4 linked regions of the Saccharomyces cerevisiae S288C genome follow. The gene in region 4 interacts genetically with the main gene of each other region. Each region holds a gene or a part of one and is shown on either strand. Other genes may lie near its edges.

Evidence for each region.
Region 1: mutations in SSO2 (region 4) and MTC4 together harm fitness more than expected from each alone (negative genetic interaction), as found in Saccharomyces cerevisiae (3 studies listed by BioGRID).
Region 2: mutations in SSO2 (region 4) and VHS1 together harm fitness more than expected from each alone (negative genetic interaction), as found in Saccharomyces cerevisiae (3 studies listed by BioGRID).
Region 3: mutations in SSO2 (region 4) and AKL1 together harm fitness more than expected from each alone (negative genetic interaction), as found in Saccharomyces cerevisiae (3 studies listed by BioGRID).

What each region holds. Positions count from the first base shown.
Region 1 is NC_001134.8:721,423-727,040, forward strand, and holds MTC4 (Mtc4p), read left to right. Parts: upstream 1-3,033; coding exon 3,034-5,118; downstream 5,119-5,618. Other genes in the region: mitochondrial 37S ribosomal protein uS5m MRPS5, read left to right, coding at 1-891; DUT1 (bifunctional dITP/dUTP diphosphatase), read left to right, coding at 1,189-1,632; SRB6 (Srb6p), read left to right, coding at 1,848-2,213; TRAPP subunit TRS20, read right to left, coding at 2,314-2,841; RCF3 (Rcf3p), read right to left, coding at 5,196-5,495, 5,590-5,618.
Region 2 is NC_001136.10:953,535-958,331, forward strand, and holds VHS1 (putative serine/threonine protein kinase VHS1), read left to right. Parts: upstream 1-2,478; coding exon 2,479-3,864; downstream 3,865-4,797. Other genes in the region: MNN10 (alpha-1,6-mannosyltransferase), read left to right, coding at 1-447; TRAPP subunit TRS23, read left to right, coding at 754-1,413; YDR246W-A (uncharacterized protein), read left to right, coding at 1,599-1,799; YDR248C (gluconokinase), read right to left, coding at 4,224-4,797. UniProt on the Saccharomyces cerevisiae protein: Probable serine/threonine protein kinase involved in the G1-S transition.
Region 3 is NC_001134.8:355,598-362,158, forward strand, and holds AKL1 (serine/threonine protein kinase AKL1), read right to left. Parts: upstream 4,591-6,561; coding exon 1,264-4,590; downstream 1-1,263. Other genes in the region: ubiquitin-specific protease UBP14, read right to left, coding at 1-420; TSC3 (Tsc3p), read right to left, coding at 727-969; ORC2 (origin recognition complex subunit 2), read right to left, coding at 5,055-6,561. UniProt on the Saccharomyces cerevisiae protein: Phosphorylates SCD5.
Region 4 is NC_001145.3:625,911-630,201, reverse strand, and holds SSO2 (syntaxin), read left to right. Parts: upstream 1-2,393; coding exon 2,394-3,281; downstream 3,282-4,291. Other genes in the region: RTP1 (Rtp1p), read right to left, coding at 1-1,177; ADD37 (Add37p), read right to left, coding at 1,417-2,013. UniProt on the Saccharomyces cerevisiae protein: Required for vesicle fusion with the plasma membrane.

The sequences.
Region 1 (5,618 bases), on a different chromosome or scaffold from region 4:
TATCTACAGCATTATGATGAGTCGCTATTATCAAGGTACTATCCTGAAAGTCTTTTAAAATCCATAAAACTTGCTCAACAAACGATACCAGAAGATACTAAATTCAGAGTATCTCGTAACGTGGAATTCGCACCACCATATTTGGATGATTTTACCAAAATACATCCTTTTTGGGATTACAAACCAGGCATGCCCCATCTCCACGCTCAAGAGGAGAATAATAACTTCAGCATCTTTAGATGGGACCAGGTACAACAACCATTACCAGGCGAAGGTAACATTCTGCCTCCAGGAGTCAGCTTACCAAACGATGGTGGTCGGAAATCGAAAAGCGCCGATGTAGCTGCAGGGCTACACAAGCAAACCGGTGTAGATCCGGATTATATCACTAGAAAGTTGACTATGAAGCCGCTGGTGATGAAAAGAGTGTCAAATCAGACTGGGAAGGGTAAAATTGCGTCTTTCTATGCCTTGGTTGTCGTTGGTGACAAAAACGGTATGGTAGGTTTGGGAGAAGGTAAATCTCGTGAAGAAATGTCCAAAGCGATCTTTAAAGCTCATTGGGATGCGGTAAGGAACCTGAAGGAAATACCTAGGTATGAAAACAGAACTATTTATGGTGATATAGATTTTAGGTATCATGGTGTGAAACTACATTTAAGAAGTGCAAAACCAGGGTTTGGATTACGTGTAAACCATGTAATCTTTGAGATTTGTGAATGTGCAGGTATCAAAGATCTGAGTGGGAAAGTATATAAATCCAGAAACGATATGAATATAGCTAAAGGTACCATCGAGGCTTTCACGAAAGCTCAAAAGACATTGGATGAGGTTGCCCTGGGTAGAGGCAAAAAGCTTGTTGATGTCAGGAAAGTTTACTATTCAAGCTGAAATACTATGTACATACACACGCACCATTATCTCTCGTTTTACATAAGTAAATACAGCAATAATAATACCTGTAAATATCTCAACATACTCAATCAAATGAGCTGATAAGCATATTCAATTTTTCTTCATAGCAATATTTTTTTCTGTCCAAGTTTTATTTTTTTTCCATAATTTCTGATTTACTACCATTGAAAATTATAAAAGGAAAAATATTACGCGCTACCATTTAATAAGTAGAAACAACTAAGTTCTCGAATGAGATGTTTGCACTGATACAGCGAGCCAAAAAATAACCAAATGACTGCTACTAGCGACAAAGTACTAAAGATTCAATTGCGCTCAGCAAGCGCTACTGTACCTACCAAAGGTTCTGCCACTGCCGCGGGATACGACATTTATGCATCTCAGGATATTACCATTCCGGCTATGGGTCAAGGTATGGTTTCCACCGACATATCGTTCACCGTACCTGTTGGTACCTACGGTCGTATTGCGCCAAGGTCAGGCCTGGCAGTGAAAAACGGTATCCAAACCGGTGCTGGTGTTGTCGACAGAGATTACACCGGTGAAGTTAAAGTAGTTTTATTCAATCATTCACAGAGGGATTTCGCGATCAAAAAAGGTGATCGCGTAGCCCAATTGATTCTGGAAAAAATTGTCGATGATGCCCAGATCGTTGTTGTAGACTCTCTGGAAGAAAGTGCAAGAGGGGCCGGTGGCTTTGGTAGCACTGGTAACTAACTTAGTGTATATACTTTGGCACACTTGTATAATGTATAATAAAATCAGGATAAATCCAGTGTGACCCGGACTGAATTACTGAAACTTTGAAGTGTTAAGGAAATTGTACTGCCATTTAACGCATTTACCTATCACTTAGTAGCATGCATAAGCCATGGGCTAATCATAACAGATTGTGATGATAGGCATCCTGTACTCCTTTTTTTTACAAGAAAATGAGCAACCAGGCACTATATGAGAAACTCGAACAAACCAGGACGATTCTGTCCGTGAAGCTGGCGGAATTGATAAATATGACTACGATAGCCGATAGAAATGATGATGACGAGGGTTCATTCGCACAAGAAAATTCTGAGCTCGCTGTGGCCACGACCAGTGTGATGATGGTGAATAACCAGACCATGCAATTGATTAAAAATGTTCAAGACTTGTTGATCCTGACCAGATCGATAAAAGAGAAATGGCTACTGAACCAAATTCCTGTAACGGAACACTCAAAAGTGACTCGTTTTGACGAGAAGCAGATAGAGGAATTACTGGATAACTGTATAGAAACGTTCGTGGCGGAAAAAACTACGTAAAAAGGCGGTATTTATCTATTATTTGGCCAAAAAAAAAAAAAAATACATACTACATATACATATACGCCATAAAAAATCTCTGCATCTATCTTATTTCCCATTATTTGGACAAATGCTTACGTGCTAATGTCCTTACCCTCGAGTCGAATGCCGGGCTCCTAATAGGGTCTGTAATCTTATAAAACGGGTTCATTAGTGTCTTTACGTATAGTTCGTGTACCTCTTGGTAGAATGACCTCATATTATTGTCGTCAATAACTACGCTACTGTTGGCTGAGTTCCCATGGATCATCACGAACTTCATCCCACTATAGCTAATATAAGCCGTTATTGCTAGTCCATAAAAATGATCAACTTTACCTAGATAACAATTATCAGTATTGTTTACAGCTCTAGATCGAAGGAACCCACCACCGCCATTGGATCCGTTTCCACCGTTCCCATTTAACTGTGAAGTCGGATTAATTTGCCATTGTAAATCTTCTACGATATCTAGTGATGCATGCAGTATGAACGGATTTAATTCTTTTAAATCCTGAGGAAAACCCTGTGGATTTTCTGCATTGGTAAACTCGATTTCATAGACAGGATTGTCCTTCTTACCAATAATGGCAAAATACTGAGGCATCTCAATGTGCTTTGTATGTTTTTTCTGTATTCTCTATTCGTATTAGTGTTTACCTTCTCTTTTTTTTCTTGATACAGATTGATATTATTTGAAAAAATCTGATGAGTAAGGCTTTGAAGAGGTAAAGGGGATATCAAGATAAAAAATATACACTTCAGCAGAGGAGGGGGAGGTACTTTAAACGGATGAAACATGACTCATACAAATGAGCACGACCATAAGGCTGAACAACAACAAAATGGAAGGGGCGATACAACAACAGAGACTGTAAACCCTCAGAAGATGAAATTGGTTACCAAACTTCTCATTGATAATAAATTTGGACTAATGGACGACTTGAATTTTAGTATACCATTAACCGCTTCTTCTGAGGGTGTACCAATATCAGCAAAGACATCAGAATTGGGTACGGAGTACCTCAAGAATCAACAAGAGAATTCAGTAAGCCCAATACTTCCAATATCAAGAAGTACAAGAATAAAAGCAGACAGGGTGAGAATATATTTAGACTATTATTATAATATATTAGAGCGTTGCATTTCAATTGATAGCTCCCAGAATCATCATGAGGGTGTTGAAGGGGTGTACAACCCATTACAAGTTATTAGGAATCGTAAATTAAAAAAGAAGCATCATGAATTACCTACCAGAGAGTTTTATACTACAAAACACCCTATTATTGCCATTAAGCAGTTTTCGAAAAAACCCAACAAAAAAATGCCGTGGTTTGTAGATATAAACGAGAAGTATATGGATTTGACTTGGAGAACTTCGCATTGGGAAGAATTAGTGGATCCTCAAGGTAAGCTTTGGTTCCAGTCTTATAGTCCTTCCAACGAATCGAGCGGATCATCATCATCCCGCCGGCATCATGGACACCACATTCATCCCAGAAGACATTTACAACATCACTCCAGGGTCCGTACAGCTAATTCAGTGCACTCAAACACTCAATCACTGACACCGAAACGAGTCATGACCAATGAAGAAGACAATAATAATCATAACAATAATAACATGATAACGAAGATCGCAACTACTCCAGAAGCTCAGATTTCAAGGAACAAAAAATCTGATCTCAATTTAAGTCACATTCATTTAGAGGTACCAATAACCAATACAGTTACAAACACCTCATCAGATCAGGGGTCATTGATCATCGAAGCAAAGGGCAGTAGCTATGGAGGTGATCGTCGTGGAAGTAGTAATACCAGTGGAAGTGGTGGGAAAAGAAATTCTAAACATTATCGTTCAAAATCAGCAGGCCCCCCGGAAAACGAGAAATCAAGAATGAATGGGCTCGAAAAAATCATTAGTAAAACGTCGAAAGGATGGTCTAGATCACCAAAAAAAAATACGCCTGGGCTTGAAAAACAGGTGCTTCTGAATCCCACTATTAGTAATGGAGGCACCAGCAGAAGGAGCAGTAATAATGGAGAGAGTATTAGTACCAACAGTAGCAAAAGTAGCATGGGAATTACTTTTGGAAACACTGAAACTTACAAGACGCCGGTTGATAATGGGAAAGATGCTATAATACGGCAAAGTTTGTTGAGCGAAGTGCCAGTTCATACCTTGAGAGGTAAAACCAGCAACAGATCGTTGCGAGCAGAAGGTGAACAAGCTCTTGAAAGTGACAAAGAATTACCAAATGGTGCTGGGAGTATTTACGAAGGTGCGCCTAGGGAGAAGACTACTAGTCAAGGTAGCGAACCAGTGGGATTAGTAAGCGATTCCTTACAGGTTGACGAACAGTTACAGAGATACTGGCATGATACAAGGTATATTATGAGTACCGTAGCTATGATGCAACACAGGAGAGAGACACATGATATAGTGAAGAGGAGAGAAATTGCACGAAGAAACGAAATTGAAATTACACAAGATGCAGATACAAACATTAGGAAGACTGCAGATGCTTTGACTCAGTATGATAATGAATTGAATAAAGTTTTAAAGCTAGGTAATGACTGGACATCAAAACTTCTGAACGACTATTCAATTCGTGTAGAAACTTTGATATCATCTAGTGACAGAATTCTTAGTGATATAAATACAACATTGACATTGAAGTTGAAAATGTTTCAAGAGAATACAGAAAGGTATGTTACGGTGAAAGTTATGAGAGCCCAAAAGATGACCAAAACCATATATCGGTTGCTGGAATTTGGCATTGTTTTAGTTCTTTGGACAATTTGGTTTTTGTTCAGCGTCCTGAGAAGCATTCGGTTCACAATTTTTTTAGTTCTAAAAATCATTAAGGCATTGCTGTGGTAATTTGCGGGTCTATGTATTTATAGAAATAAACCATCTGCACTGATATATGAATATATAAGTAGACATGAAAATAACTTTCATGTAGTTGACCGGGAAGAGTTCAAACTCTCATCCTCCAGAAAAAGGCCTCTCTCAGCAGCTTCATCCATAATCTTTTCTCTTCTTTTCTGTTCCTCACGATAATAATTTGTCTGGAACTTGAGCAATTGCTTATCAGCTCTGAAGACAGCACCCATTGAAATCCAAGAACAATGATAAAAAACACGCACTTGAGTTCTGACATTTCTATATACTGATGAAAATCTTCTCAACAGCAGCGCTGAGGCAATACTGAAGAGAGCACCTTGGGCAGCTCCTATACATGATGCAACAGTAATCTACGAATGAGAAAGAAGGTTAATTAGACTTGTGTTAGCGATTTATTCTGGGGTGAACAAGACAGGGCCAGATATATTCTTGAATTTTACATACTTCTTTAGTTAATTGTTTAACAGTTTTGG
Region 2 (4,797 bases), on a different chromosome or scaffold from region 4:
ATACCCTATGTCGATTATTCAGAGGAAATGGAGTTTCTAATAACACAAGATTGTGGAGGCTTCAATTTGGGCTCATTTCTGATAAAAAATAGCGAATGGTCTAAGCTGCTTCTAGATATGTGGTGGGACCCCGTTCTGTATGAACAAAAACATATGGTTTGGGAACATAGAGAACAAGATGCGTTAGAGGCATTATATGAAAACGAACCGTGGATTCGTTCGAGAATAGGATTTTTGCCCTTAAGAACGATCAATGCATTCCCACCGGGAGCATGCTCTGAATACAGTGGTGACTCAAGATACTTTTACAGTGAGAAAGACCATGATTTTGTTGTGAATATGGCCGGATGCAATTTTGGCAGAGATTGCTGGGGCGAGATGCAGTACTACACCACTTTAATGGAAAAACTGAATAGGAAATGGTACACGAGATTTTTCTTCCCATAAAATGGAAGTTATCAATATTGTAAAGAGAAGCATTTACAAGCTTTTATTTTTCTTTTTAATTTCCACTACTGGTTCTGCTTTAAAATGTTGTTTTATAATTTATGTACATTTAGGCCTATAGAAGATTCTTTCAATAATATGCTACACATTCTTTTATTTTTCCATCATATGTTGGAGTTTATGCCTCCTCGGCAGGAGTTGGGCGGTGCGAAGAGAAGAAAAAGAGTGAAACTAAAAAAAGGAATCTGCCTTTGCATAAGTTCAAAAGTGCAATTTTAGTGTTGGATTTAAACGGGAAAAATTGAAATGGCCATCGAAACAATACTTGTAATAAACAAATCAGGCGGACTAATCTATCAGCGGAATTTTACCAACGACGAACAGAAATTGAACAGCAATGAATACTTAATTCTTGCTAGTACACTGCACGGTGTATTCGCCATCGCGAGCCAGCTGACTCCGAAGGCATTACAGCTAACTCAACAAACGAACATCGAAAATACCATCCCATATATACCTTACGTGGGCATGTCCAGCAATAGGAGCGATACAAGAAATGGAGGTGGCAATAACAACAAACACACTAATAATGAAAAACTGGGCAGTTTTAAAGGAGATGATTTTTTCAAAGAACCATTTACGAACTGGAACAAGAGCGGATTGAGACAACTATGCACGGATCAGTTCACGATGTTCATATATCAGACCCTAACCGGCCTGAAGTTTGTCGCTATCAGCTCCAGCGTCATGCCCCAGAGACAGCCAACTATAGCCACCACCGACAAGCCTGACCGACCCAAGAGTACATCCAATTTGGCCATCCAAATAGCCGACAACTTCCTAAGGAAGGTTTACTGTTTGTATAGTGACTACGTCATGAAAGACCCATCTTACTCAATGGAAATGCCTATAAGATCTAACCTGTTCGACGAAAAAGTCAAAAAAATGGTAGAAAACCTACAATAGACGCACGCGCCATCGGAAGATAAACGCATTCACACCAAGAAAATAAATACTACGTACTTCTAGAACTAAGAAGAAGTTGCCGCTCTCCGTCTCCTCCTTCATAAATAGGGATAGCTTTTACTACTACGTACGAAAAAAGACCACACTGCGACGGATCCTCTGCATCCCAACACCAGCGATAGAAAATGCGCCGCCTATATCGTCATCTTGCTTCCTTTTTCTTACTCCCTTCCTGCCCTGGAAACACCATACAATCCATCACATCATATCCTGCCAATGCACTATTACGCAGCTTTCGGCACGTGAGTACGGAAACACCAGTTCGGAACCGGGTACACAATAGGGATAGTCAAAGCTGTCCATTTTTTCCGCTGATGGATGACTGATACCAAAGTGTAACCCAAAAGGGGTAGTCGATCCTACTTTTACCAGTTACGTTAAAGGGACCAAAACGTGGGGAAGGGATGCCGCCACCACCACCGCCACTACCCCCGCCAACATGGCCTAACTTAGCAGTCCTCGCTTGTGTATCTAGGTCCGCGTCCGCTAATTCGCGCGGCTTGCCACTTAACCCCGTCCAGTTAATTTGCCAAGCAGCGGCCGCACGTTGGAACGTTTTCGCCGATTTATTTATTATTATTTATACATGTTGACGTTGGTGCCCTTTTGTTTATACTGGAGCCTAAAACGTACCTCAATTAAATTTAGTGTGCCATATTATAGTGCTATTAAACCTTTATTTTTATTTTTAATTTTAAAACTGCTTTGGTTCTCTCCCTCCCTTACCGTTGCCACCTTAAGACTCACTGATATTTATTCATACTTACAAGTGCTATAAGAAAAGACTTGATTTATTAGCTTTACAGCGTTTTTACATTTGTGTCACTGCTATTATATTTTTGTTTACCTCTTTTTGTTGCTGGTGTTGGCGCTACCATTGTTTTTTTGTTTTATGAGTTACGTTTACAAAAGTTCTTAACATTTACTGTACGATAATATACTAAGGTGAAATACTAAAGTAAAATAAAATAAGAGAAAGAAAAAAAAAAAAAAAAGAAAAAAGTAATGATGATGTTCCATAATTGCAGAATTAATAACTACTTAATAACTTCTCAAATTGGCGAAGGCGCGTACGGTCTGGTTTACCGTGCCTTAGATATTCGTACCGATAGACAATACGCTATCAAAGCGGTTGTTCAAAGTTACGGTGTTAGCAAGGAGGCTGATATGGGCAATGATAAAATACACAAAAATAGCGTGAAATTGCAAAAGAAGCTCGCTAAACTGTTCAAGGAATCGAAAAACGTTGTCAGGGTGCCCTCTATAGATCTAGAATCAATTGAGAATATGTCAGAAGAAGATTTTAAAAAGCTGCCCCATTATAAAGAGATTTCGCTACACCTAAGAGTCCACCATCATAAGAACATTGTCACCATACATGAGGTGCTACAATCTGCAGTCTGCACGTTCATTGTCATGGATTATTACCCAACAGACCTATTCACGTCTATTGTAGATAACAGACATTTTGTCACTAATGGACTGCTAGTAAAAAAGGTTTTTCTACAGATCTGTTCTGCTCTTAATTATTGCCATGAGCACGGCATCTACCACTGTGACATCAAGCCTGAAAACTTGCTACTGGATACAGAAGATAACGTTTTCCTATGCGATTTTGGTCTATCCACTACTTCCACATATATAAAGCCAAATGTTTGCATTGGTAGCTCGTATTATATGCCCCCTGAAAGAATCTCATTTGATGGGAGAGTTTCCAGCTCTAAAAGTGGGGGACATAAGTTGGGTAAGGTTTGTCCCTCATGTAATGGCGATTTGTGGTCATTAGGTATCATCCTTATCAATTTGACATGCATCAGAAATCCCTGGCTGAAGGCTGACAAAACCGAGGATAATACCTACTATTATTTCACTAAGGATCCCAATATACTAAAGCAAATCCTACCGCTTTCCGATGACTTTTACTCATTATTATCTAAGATTTTACAAGTGAATCCGAAGAATAGAATGAGCTTGCAAGAGTTGATGAAAGAAGTTAGTTCTATTACAAGCTTCACCAATGAAGGCCCGTTATCAAAAGTGCCGCCTCTTTCCAAGTCTGTTTATGAAAAGTTCGTTAGCCCCGTCGATAACACGAATGAGAATTTGTCTCCAAAATCCTACGTGTACATGCACGATAGTAAAGCTGCCAAGAATTTATCTTATACATCTTCAAGTGAGGAAGAAGATGGAATCAAAGAAGGGATAGACGATGATAATGGCAGTCGCAGTGGCAGTTTCGGAACGCTAGACACAGACACTGGATTGCATTCTTCGTTCACAAGCACTTCTTGCGAGTCCGATAACGAATGTTCTAAGATTTCCAACAAATTTTCCTTGTTCGAAAAAAAATTCAACGAACTTCGCATGAGTTCCTCTTCTTTAACTAACTAACCCCCTCCTTTTTGGCACAAAAGTGTACTACACATCTGTTTTAAGCCCACAATTGATAGACCTTCTCTTGATGATCATCTGTTTTCCCGAAAATATTACTTGCCAAAGCAAGTTGTAGTTATATTCACACTTCCGTTATGACCCCCTCATCCGTTTAATGTTATTTGTTTTTATGGTATTCCCTTTATTCATTTTTTTTCTTGCTTTTTTTTGTTGATCCCTGTAACCCCTTTTTTTTTTTTGGAAGTTGCTATTATTATTCATTCACATTTGTTCTGTCTTTGTTAATTTTCCAGGTCACCGTATTTAATTTCTATATAACTGTTTCTAATATTTACTTCGTTTTATCCAAGCGTTATTTACTCAATATTCAAAACTTTACTTTTTACCACCTGTATAACATCTTTTTCAATTTGATAAAACGTTTTGAAATCTAAGGGAACAATGTCACAGTCAGTTTCGTCGTTGATGTCTGGTAACTCCAGATCCCTGAATTGAGACTCCATCATATCAGCTTTCATGAAATGACCCTTCCTTGTTTTGAGCCTTTTCAGAACTTCTATTTTACTTGCATACAAAAAGATAAAATGGAACTCCGATTCAGGGCATGTGTGCCTAATCAAATCTCTGTATTTCTTCTTCAAGCTCGAGCAAGCAACAATTGACAAATGCTCCTTAGTGCTTGCTGCAGCTTTTGTAGATTCTACGGCAACTTTTTTCAACCAGTCCCAACGGTCGTCGTCATTTAATGGAATCCCTCTTGTCATCTTTTCTACGTTGGCAGGCGGGTGTAAATCATCACCTTCGATGAATTTCAAATCCGGGTATATATCTTTAAATTCATGGATTAGTTCACCTGCAATGGTTGATTTTCCTGTACCTGCAGTACCTGCCAATACAATAACCTTAAATTTCCCCATAGTTTTGTGTTTC
Region 3 (6,561 bases), on a different chromosome or scaffold from region 4:
AGAAGAAATGTCAGAGTCTGTCGACTTCGAAAGTACGGTCCTGGGAACATTTTCACCATTGAACCTTTGTAAACTCCAAATAGTGTTGTGGGTGTCGTCTTCTGACGTCTCAATTACCTGTAGCTTTATTTTTTTGTTGTTATTATTTTCTTCTACATTTTCTTGCTTAGGTTTCTCCACTTTAGCAATAGTTAAATAATTGGAATGTATGGTATCGCAAGCATATTCTGTGACTCGGATATGGAGTGGAACATGTCTGTTGCACGTAGCTTGGAAACAGTTTAAGCATATATTCAATGAATGTTTAGGTGATGCATTGAGGGCCAATGGTTCATTATAAGGGGATTCAAAGCAATAAATACACTCATCTTTTGAAACGACTGCAGGAACGTTAACGTTTTCTAGTACTGCTTCTGCCATTTCTGAATGTGAGAAAGACTTCGGGCTCTCTTTTTGGATGAATTTACCTGTCATCTCTACTGCCATTGCAAGTCGCTTTTCACTGTGATTTCATCAAGTGATAAATTTGATCTCATTCCAAACGATGTCATTTTTCAAAGGCACATCAACTGTTATAAATTATATCCTATAGCCACAAGCAATTATTAGTTTATGTATTGTGTGTATATTTATGTAACTCTATCCTCCATGATATCCTCCTAAATTTTCTGTCCCCTTGCCTCCAGCTTATACTATTATTAACCGAATAAGGATATAAATAATCATTCAAAGGAAGCAATACTTTAGTATACCGAAGAAACTCAAACTGAAAATTGTGAGAAAAAAAACATGGAGGAAGAATGAATCAAAAGAGGCCATTAAATAAAAGGGTAAATGTATGTAGTAGGTCCAATAAAGCTTTTCCACCACTTCTTCAATAGTATTTAGTATGCCTTCTGATTTCCCATTACGTCTTTTAGCTTCCTTAGTGGTGGGTATGTACACCATCGAGCTTTTATGTTGTGTCATTTCTTCCCCTTATGATATGTTCCACCTTTGTTCTTCCGGTTTCTACACTCTTTATCTCTAGTACTTTTAAAATGGTGTCATTTCTGTCAAATTGCGAGCACTATTACTCTTCACTTAACCGCTTCTCGTTAAGCGCGTCAGGAGTAAACGTCATCTCGCACGATATGCTTAATGCATATGATTTGAGTTACTATTGTTCTATCAATTTAGTTTTTGAGGAAGATATACGGATTGTCTGCGCCTCTATATGTAACAATGTATGTATATGATTTTATATGTGCTCTATTTATCGAATCATTTCTCGCTTCTAAAGACTGAGAAAAAAGATCTCCTTTTCCCGTTACTGCCACCACTACTGGATGCACTACTTGCCATCGCTTCACGACGGACCCTTTCCAAATCAAGCGATTGACGGGCCCTAGCGAAGGATTTTCTCATCTCTGATGGAGTTGAGGTGCTAATAGTAATGCTGCTATTGCTATCCTTATCCTTCGAATGCCGGTATCTTTCCAAATCGTGCCTTTGCTTGGAACCAGTCCTGTGTGTTTCATGCTTGCCATTTGACCGGGTTGACAGTTCGTGACCAGTACTGTGGCGCTTATTCTCAGTTATTGCGGTGGAAGCATGAGGTGAAACTCTATACGAGTGATGTGAATTTGGTGCTGGCGAGTCGTTTTTATTTCTATGCTCTTGAGTTAACGTTGGTGAAGACAGATTTACTTCCTGGAAATTCAGATCCAATGACTGCCGCGGTTGCCTTGTTGATACGCTGCTGAAGTCCTTGCTTTTGAATTGATTAGACTTACTAGCATCACTTGATCTTGCCTGGTCTTTATGACCTCTTTCATTATGGAGTGGTCTTCTTTCAGCTGTTTTTCCTCTCCTTGCATCATCCAAATCAATATCAATGCTTTCGCTGGAGACCATACTATCTCCCAATTCGTCTGTTGAATAATTGTTCCTCTTACTGGAACCTTTGCGTCCAGAAAGCTTAGCTTGTTGAATTGATGCAGACGATGAAGACGATGAAAAGGAGGAGACAGCAGCACCAGTATCATCTCTTGATAAGTCCATCTCATTCAAACTTAAATTTAAAACGCCATTTCGATTATTGTTCGAGCCTTTGATAGTTCCTGAACCGCCGGCATCTTCGATACCGCCAGTTTGAGGCTCATTTGTATCTTGGAAAGATTGCTTTCCTGCATCTTCTTTTAATGGAGATAGTTCAATTAAGAGAGCTTCATTTTTAGAGGATGAGTGCATTGGTTCATTTGCAGAATTTCCTGCAAGAATTGGAGGTTCACCCCCCTGAGCATTTCTCATATCTTCTGTGGTATGATTTGTTCTATCAGAGACGTAAGTACCATTATTATTTGCATTTTGAATTTGCATTTGCTGTTGGACTTGCAGTTGTTGCTGAACTTGCATCTGCTGCTTGGCTTGCATCTGTTGCTTTGCCTGCATCTGTTGTGCCTGCAATTGCTGGGCTTGTATCTGTTGCGCTTGCTGCTGATTCATGGAAATAACAGGTCTCACCATTGGAATTGCTGGGGAATTTTGACTTGGGAGATATCCTGACTGGGAGTTCGTGGCGTAATTTTGAGAAATATTCTGAAAGTTGACTCTTCTATTACCACTATCTCCAGCAATAGTTCCACCCAACTGCATAGGTTTATTGGACCGATCCCTCCCAGTGTAGAAATTTCTTTGGCTATAATTAGCAGGTCCTTTGGGTTGGTCCTGTTGTTGCTGCTGTTGTTCAACTCTAGATTGATACTGAGATTCATCTGGAAAGGTATTCCCTTGTGTACCTGTTTGATTTTGAGCTTGCTGATATCTCTGGCCTTGCTGTTGTTCTTCCAGGAAAAAGTTACTTGCGTCATTGCTCAATTCATTCGTAGAATGGTATGCAACATTCATTTTTGGAAAGGGATTATTCGATTTATGTTGTTTCATCTTATTAATACCAGCAGTTTTCTCGTTCGCCAAGGCTTCGTCTGACCCGATCGTTGCTGCACCATATGATGTGCTCTTCATTGATCTGCCACCTGAAGAATAAGAGCTTGTGCTCTTTTGCCTCTGTGGTAGTGATTGGGTATTCAAACGAGGACTTTGTTCAGAAATAGTCGGATCACTTGATTGTTTGACCAATTCTTTGTCCAAATAAGTATCTAATTCGCTCACGCTTGGATAATATAACTCTCCAGGAGTTTTATTTTCAAAAATTGATTTGTCCTCTATACCTGGAGACTGGATTGTATTGATTTCTTGAGGATTATTGGCTGTACCAGAACTGTTAGCATTCGATGTTGTTCTTGACGATTTATCTTCGGACAGGGTAGACTTCCTCTGATCGGATTGACTTTCTTTCTCTTCTTCAAGTTCTTGGCCGACATTTTGAGATGGTATTCTAGAAACAGCGGCATGACCGTCACTAGCGTTCATGGGAAGTTTGGATGAGATTTCAAAAGAAGAAAGAAACATGTCATTCAGTAAGTTTTCTTCTGAGTCACTCAATTTATTGTTCTGCATAATTTTCTTTTGTTGTAGCTGGTACATTTGCAATTGAACATTTTGTAATTTATTCTGAAACTGCGTATATTTAGAAAAATTATAGGCACCTTCCGCATACTTATCCTCGATTGGAACTTCCACATTTAAAATCTCACATAAATGGTATAATACTTGATAAATGTTCGGTCTCAAATTTGGGTTTTCCGCCAACATGATAATGATTAAGTTGATTAGTTTTGATGAATATTTGTTGACAGGAAATTCATATTTGGAATGTAATATAGCAAATTGACCTGTCATTTCAAAAGGGGTGGTGAAAAATAATAATTTGTAAAGGAAAACTCCCAAAGCCCATATGTCTGATTTTTCGTTAATGGGCAGACATCTGTAAAGGTCAATCATTTCAGGGGACCTATACTGCGGAGTAGTATGCACATAGATGTTTTGAGTCAAAAGAGCAATATCTTGATGAGTAGTGACAATTGGGAAACATGTCGACGTGGACCCAAAATCAGCTAGCTTGAAATTGTTTTTGGCATCTACCAAGACATTTTCAATCTTGATATCGCGATGGATCAAGGACACAGGAAGGTAGTGCATTTGAGAGATAGAAAGAGCAACGTCATACATAATTTTCACAATTTCAGCTTCTGTCAGTTTCGTTGACAATCGTTGGTTCATATAATCTAGCAAAGATTTGTTTGGACACAATTCCATTAGCAAAAGAACCTCAAATCCTTGAACGCCATCACGACGGCGAGAGGCGTTGGAATCGAAGTATTGTACTATATTTGGGGCCCCTTTCAATTTCTTCATTACCTCCACTTCATTTCTCATCTCGTTCAATCCATTCTCATCTTGAACTAATACTCTTTTCAGACATGCGACATCGCCAATCTTTAAGGGAACACTTGCTGTATTATCAAATTCATTAAGATACTCTAGGAATTTCACCACGTAAATTTGAGCAAAGCCACCTTCTGCTAAATAATTTACCACTTCAACTTTATGTGTGCCTACGCAGACAATATGGCCTGGAGTGTACCTCTCTACCGCCGGATGGCCCATTGCCGAAACGCTTCTAGAAGTACCATTCGTGATCGACATGATCAGTGCTAATTAGAAAGAAAATAACAGGCGACAGGGACGAAAACAAGAGCTTGGGAAAACGTAATAGCAAAAAATGAATGGCAACTAAAATTATCTCTATGATGTCCTGTGTTGCTTATGCTCCCGAGGCACCGATTCTGATTCAACAATGCTATTGAATTTACTCATTCAAGAAAGGGGGTTCATAGGATTATGGCTTTTATTCAGTATTTTTAAGTTTTTTCGGTTATTGAGCTCTGAATAGGGCATTTTCAGAATGGCGGGGTTCACCTAAAAAAAATGAAAAACAAATATAGGTCATAACTCGTCTGAATTTTCGAAGAGCTCATCAGACGTTTTTCAGTAGGGTTATATGAGAAGTTTTTTAGTCGTTTTAAGATACATCACTAAGTATTGTTGGTTATGGGAAAGCAAAGCTAGCAAGCCTAGTACTATTACAATTGTTCGTGATATGTATACATTTATAGAGTATTTAAAACGGTTTTCAGAAGTTTTTCAAGTTCCGCATACGTGTAGGGTACCCAAATAATTTCCATTCCAGAATTGTTCTTAGTTATGTTGGCCATTTTATGTTCTATGAATTCTCTAAGCATCGACCTTAGAGCTATCTCATTAGAAGCAATAAAATCAGCGGCACAGAGATGGTTGAAAAGTTTAAGTTCTACTCCAGTTCTTTGAGTACCACGCTTAGGACCTGTGTTAGCGGATAGATTCCCCATATTCTGCATTTGTGTTTCAATAAGCAACTTATACATCTTCTTGGAGTTCACAGTAAGTGATTGTAAGACGTATTTCGCACCTTCAGCACCACTGCTGGTATCGCTTTTACCCATCTTCATCACATCTTGGAACGTAGACTCGACTGTCGACGGTTCAAAATTCGAAATATCATGAAAGACAAAGTTGTAGTTTTGGGCCTTCATGTTGTCCCAGAGGAGCGGAGCGTAAATGTGGTCTGTAGAGGCGACTATGGCGATTTGTCTGATGACGGAGAGGAAGCTTAGCATCGTCTGAAAAGTGTTTTTCCTTATGCTAGGACCATCCAGATTATGCACTACAAGTATTAATTTGATATCTAAAGGTTGATTTTTGTAGAAATCAATCATCTTTTGGATCTGCAAAATCACATGATTGCCCCAGTACTTAGTTTCGCTTCTTGTCAACTCAGCGGGGACCAAAAGATCGGTAATCTCTTTGAAGACGTCACGATAGTTACAGCTAGGGTTGTAACCATTTAAAATAAGGCATGGGATGGAATTTACAGGTTTGTTTTGTTGTAATTCATTCTCATAAGCCAGTTGCGAGTACGCGATTTTCGGAGACAAGTAGTCAATGGCAAACTCTTCCAAAAAATTACGTTTCGAACCTACACCATAAAATAATAAGGAGAATCCTTGAGTCAATTCAAACCAATACTGGGGAAACATTTTTTTCTGAATTTCAAATAACTTTTGCCTGGGACGTTTTTGAAAATTTTCGTTGAAAAAGTTTGATACTAGGGAAAACTCTTCTCTGGTAACGTCAGGTGCCATTGACATGGTGTGCCTTGACTTCGCATTAGTTCTGACAATTTTTCTTTGGTCGAAATATCCTTCAAAAGTATCCAAAAACGAGCTTGCTGACTTGGTTTCCGAAGTTTGGTAGAGCTTTTTATTTTTCGGTACAGGGGTTGGAGTAAAATTTCTACTCAAGGTTAATTTACCTGGGGAGGTTGAGTCTTTATATTCTTTTAAATTATTCATTATAATTTGCTTTAGGGGCGAAGTAAAATCATGATTAGTGGTTAAAGACTTCTTAGATGGTGTTGCAGGTTCTGGTGGCTCGGGTGAATTTGATACAAAATTATCATCAGTTTGTGGAGTCACATTATCTTCATATGTTGTGGTCGCTACCTGTATTTTTTCGCGTTCTCTTTTCTCTTTTATCCCCGTCTTTTCCATCACCTGCTTGTTGTTAGAAGTCTTGCTT
Region 4 (4,291 bases):
TAGTAACTAAATCATTCAGCAAATCCGATGAAGAATTTTTGGATAAAGATATAAGAACGTTTATAACATCGTTCAGTTCCTTTGCTGTATGATCAGTTAACGGGGAATTAAAGATAATGGAGCGGACCTTCTTAAACAAAAAATCGTTAACAATCCTCTTATTCCTCAGGTAAAATTTAAGGATTAGTCCGTTCAAACAAGTGACCAGGATAGGCCTGTTCACAAAGGTGAGACCATCATAAATTTGCTTGAATAGTTCCGTCAAGTATTGCAAATTTGTCATTGTTTTTGGCTTACTCATCAAAATTTGGTAGATACGGTTAAACTTTTCAATATCTATATCTTCAGCATCTCTCACACCCAAAACGAAATCAATCAAGCTGATCAGACCATTTTCCGGTCTTCGTAGAGTTAACGTTGTTAACTTCGAAAGGATTGGCTCCCTAACCTTTTCGTCTTGAATTGTTTCTACTAGTAGAGTGTAAACCCCAAACAAAGTATAAGTTTCTTGAGTATCTTCTAGATTTGTAATCATTTGTGAAGAGTACCTATTAGGCAACTGCAAATGTAACACAATCAAACCTAATAAAATGTTTGCGTAAGCACTGCCTTTTGATATTATTTCTCTCAGGTAGTCAGAAGACCTCTCACTAGTTAGAACATTATAAAAGACAGTTATGACTTGAGATAAAGTATCGTTATTTATGGTGTGCCATCGAGGCGTTTCATATTCTGCGCTTTTTTGGCCCTTCTTGAAAGTATTTATTCTTTTCGAATCGAATGGAATTTTCATCGTAGGAGACAAATTAGCATCTATACCATGAATAATCAAAAGATTTATCAGTTCGTCTACGTATTTCATATCATGCAATGAGATAGGCAATAAGTCACTTTTACTTTCGATGAGCCTCCGTTGCTGTTCTAGTACGTGAATGTGCAAATTCTGGAATTTCTGTAAAAGTACTGCAACAAACTCATTGTTATTTGAGCACTTCAACGCCTGATAAATGGAAGAGGATGATGATGAGCCTGAATCAAGAACATATTCGTTTATGGGAGTAATTACATTGTCATCCAGATCTTCGAAGAAAACATCTAGGGCTGTCTTTTTGGTGAGCTTCGGTCTTGTATTCAATATATCGTGTATGTTGATCTTTTGCTCTTTATCCTCATTCATTTTCCAACCTTTTGTTTTTCTTGATCTGATATGACAAGAAGAAACATGAGGCGGTGATGAGCCCTTATTGCTATATGCTGTTCGACGCGATGAGATGATTACATGTTTTTTATTAAATTTCTCAAGCAGACTGCGGGTAACCTTGATTTTTAATTATTCAATAGGAATTCTTTTTTTTTTTAGAAAATAAAATGTTCTGCGTAGTGTACTTCTATTTATAAATATAATAATATTATTGATTAATTAGGCATCGCATTTTCAAAAATTTTTAAGAATGCGGGACACCAATTTGAGATTGTTGTGTCAGTAACCATCCAATGTTTAATGGTTTTCACGGCCATATTTTTGTCTTTTTCATTGAAAATCTGGGATAGTACTGTTTTGGTGTGCTCGTTTTGTAAAATCTTGGTAATGTTTGAATCTAATTTTTTCTTGTAAAATTCCAACTCCTTCGAAGAGAGCTTCGAGCCACACACACAGAGGTCGTTGATCTTAGCCACTAATTCTTCTTTACTGCATAATATCGGCTGGAGCTGTCTATCGCCTTGGTCTTTTACGAGCACACCTTCACAGGCAGATTCTTGTTGAGCAGCAGTTACAGATGGCCTCCTCAAAACTGGTGGCGGCGTAGTAGCTGTTTTAGTGTTCCCATAAAGATCTAACACTTCTGTGGCAAGTCTGCCGCTAACACATCTTTTCGATTTCGTTCTTTGTTTAGATTTGGATCTAGGTCCGCTATTAGGGTCGATAGAAAACAAAACTGTCGGACAGTCGTTATAACCAGGCACTTCAGCTTCTAGACAATTCTGAAAACTTTTGGTTGGTTTAATAGCCATCGTACGTAATAGTATGTGCGGAAATAGATTGACGAAGAACCGACAGATGCGCGTCTACTGAAGCTCTTATGAGTAGCCTGTGTGAATAAAGAAGCCAGCTAAAAGTAAATATGTGGCATCTTTATGTCTTACGAGCCGGGTACCAAGCGGCAGCAAAGGGTCCCCCCTAAACGACGTGCTTATCACCCGGCCGTTGTTTACGAAATGGCCTTTTTTGACGTTTTTAGTTTCAATGGATGGATGAAAAAAGCAAGTAAAATGACAAATAAATGCTGTTGGCAGGTTAAATCGTTTAATATACCCATAAGAGAGCTGGAATAGTGTGGAATTGTAATACTTTACATTTGAAAACTGCCCATACACGCACAAATATTGCAGCAATGAGCAACGCTAATCCTTATGAGAATAACAATCCGTACGCTGAAAACTATGAAATGCAAGAGGACTTGAACAATGCTCCTACTGGTCACTCAGATGGTAGCGACGATTTCGTAGCTTTTATGAACAAGATCAACTCAATAAATGCTAACTTGTCCAGGTACGAAAACATTATCAACCAAATTGATGCGCAACACAAAGACCTACTTACTCAAGTGAGTGAGGAACAGGAGATGGAATTGAGACGTTCTTTGGACGATTACATCTCTCAGGCCACAGATTTGCAGTATCAATTGAAAGCGGATATCAAAGATGCCCAGAGAGACGGATTGCACGACTCTAATAAACAGGCACAAGCTGAAAATTGCAGACAGAAATTCTTAAAATTAATTCAAGACTACAGAATTATCGATTCTAACTACAAAGAAGAAAGCAAAGAGCAGGCGAAGAGACAGTACACAATTATCCAACCGGAAGCCACTGACGAAGAAGTGGAAGCCGCCATCAACGATGTCAATGGCCAGCAGATCTTTTCCCAAGCGTTGCTAAACGCCAATAGACGTGGTGAGGCCAAGACAGCATTGGCCGAAGTACAGGCTAGACATCAAGAGTTGTTGAAGTTGGAAAAAACAATGGCTGAACTTACCCAATTGTTCAATGACATGGAAGAGTTGGTCATCGAACAACAAGAAAATGTGGATGTCATTGACAAAAACGTCGAAGACGCTCAGCAAGATGTAGAGCAAGGTGTGGGTCACACCAACAAGGCCGTTAAGAGTGCCAGAAAAGCAAGAAAAAACAAAATAAGATGTTTGATCATCTGCTTTATTATCTTTGCTATTGTTGTTGTCGTTGTGGTTGTTCCATCCGTTGTGGAAACAAGAAAGTAATAGAGCACATGCGCCTCCCTCCCGCCAGCCCCCCAATTCCTATTATGTGTAATCAAACAATTTCTATTAAAACCGAAAACCTAAAAATTGTAACGTCTTTTCTCTTTCCTACTATACCCTCCTCATACCTGCCTTTTTAACAATTAGTATTATAATTTTTTTTTTTCACAAAAAGACAATACCGACTATCTAATAAATAATTTTAATACGTATGTAATTTCGTTAAGAACAAGAATTTTTAAGTAAAAAATCTTACTTTTAAGAAAAACTGTCGCCCTTAATATTAGTCCCAATTTTGTAACGAAAAATAAAATACAAATCGGGGTGGAAAAAGGGAAATTTTACAACATTATTATTCCAAAAACTAGTTTTCAAAAAGTAAATCGTGGGGGTATGAACAACAATTGTTGTAGTCGCAACTACGGTAATTGGTCCTAAAAAATTATTCTCCGGGAAAAAAAGAAGAAACAAAGAGATCCCGAAACATAAGTCCCGTGATTCTTTTTGCCCCCCGCTTTCTTTCGCCAAGAGAAGAGCAATTTATTGAAAGGCTTTTCTTGATGTTTTTGGGTTGTGAAAGCGTTAATAGCGCCAAGTTAGAATAGTAAATATCACAACTACAATATCTACACTTCTCACTTGCGCATTAACCTGCACACGTACTAGACTTTATCTGTCTTGATTGTTACTTCTAGACCAATCAACATTGAAGCGCTCGGCAAATGCTTGACAAGAAAAAAAACTAATTTTCCCTTCGCCTTTTATAGTGCCCATCGGATAGGATATTCCATCTTTGTCTTGCGCCCACTTCGTTGTCGTTACCCGCACGTTGTGTTTTTTGAGGGCTTGAGCAAATTCTTACAGTTAAGGTACAATAGTTGTCTCGAAGAGCAGTACATCAACGGCCTGACGACCTACAGTAGCACTTTCCTTTAAGTGTATATAAACTTTCCTTTTCGGTAAGGGATGCAGGAGAAAGGGCGAGTTTTGTTTATATGCGATCCTTTATG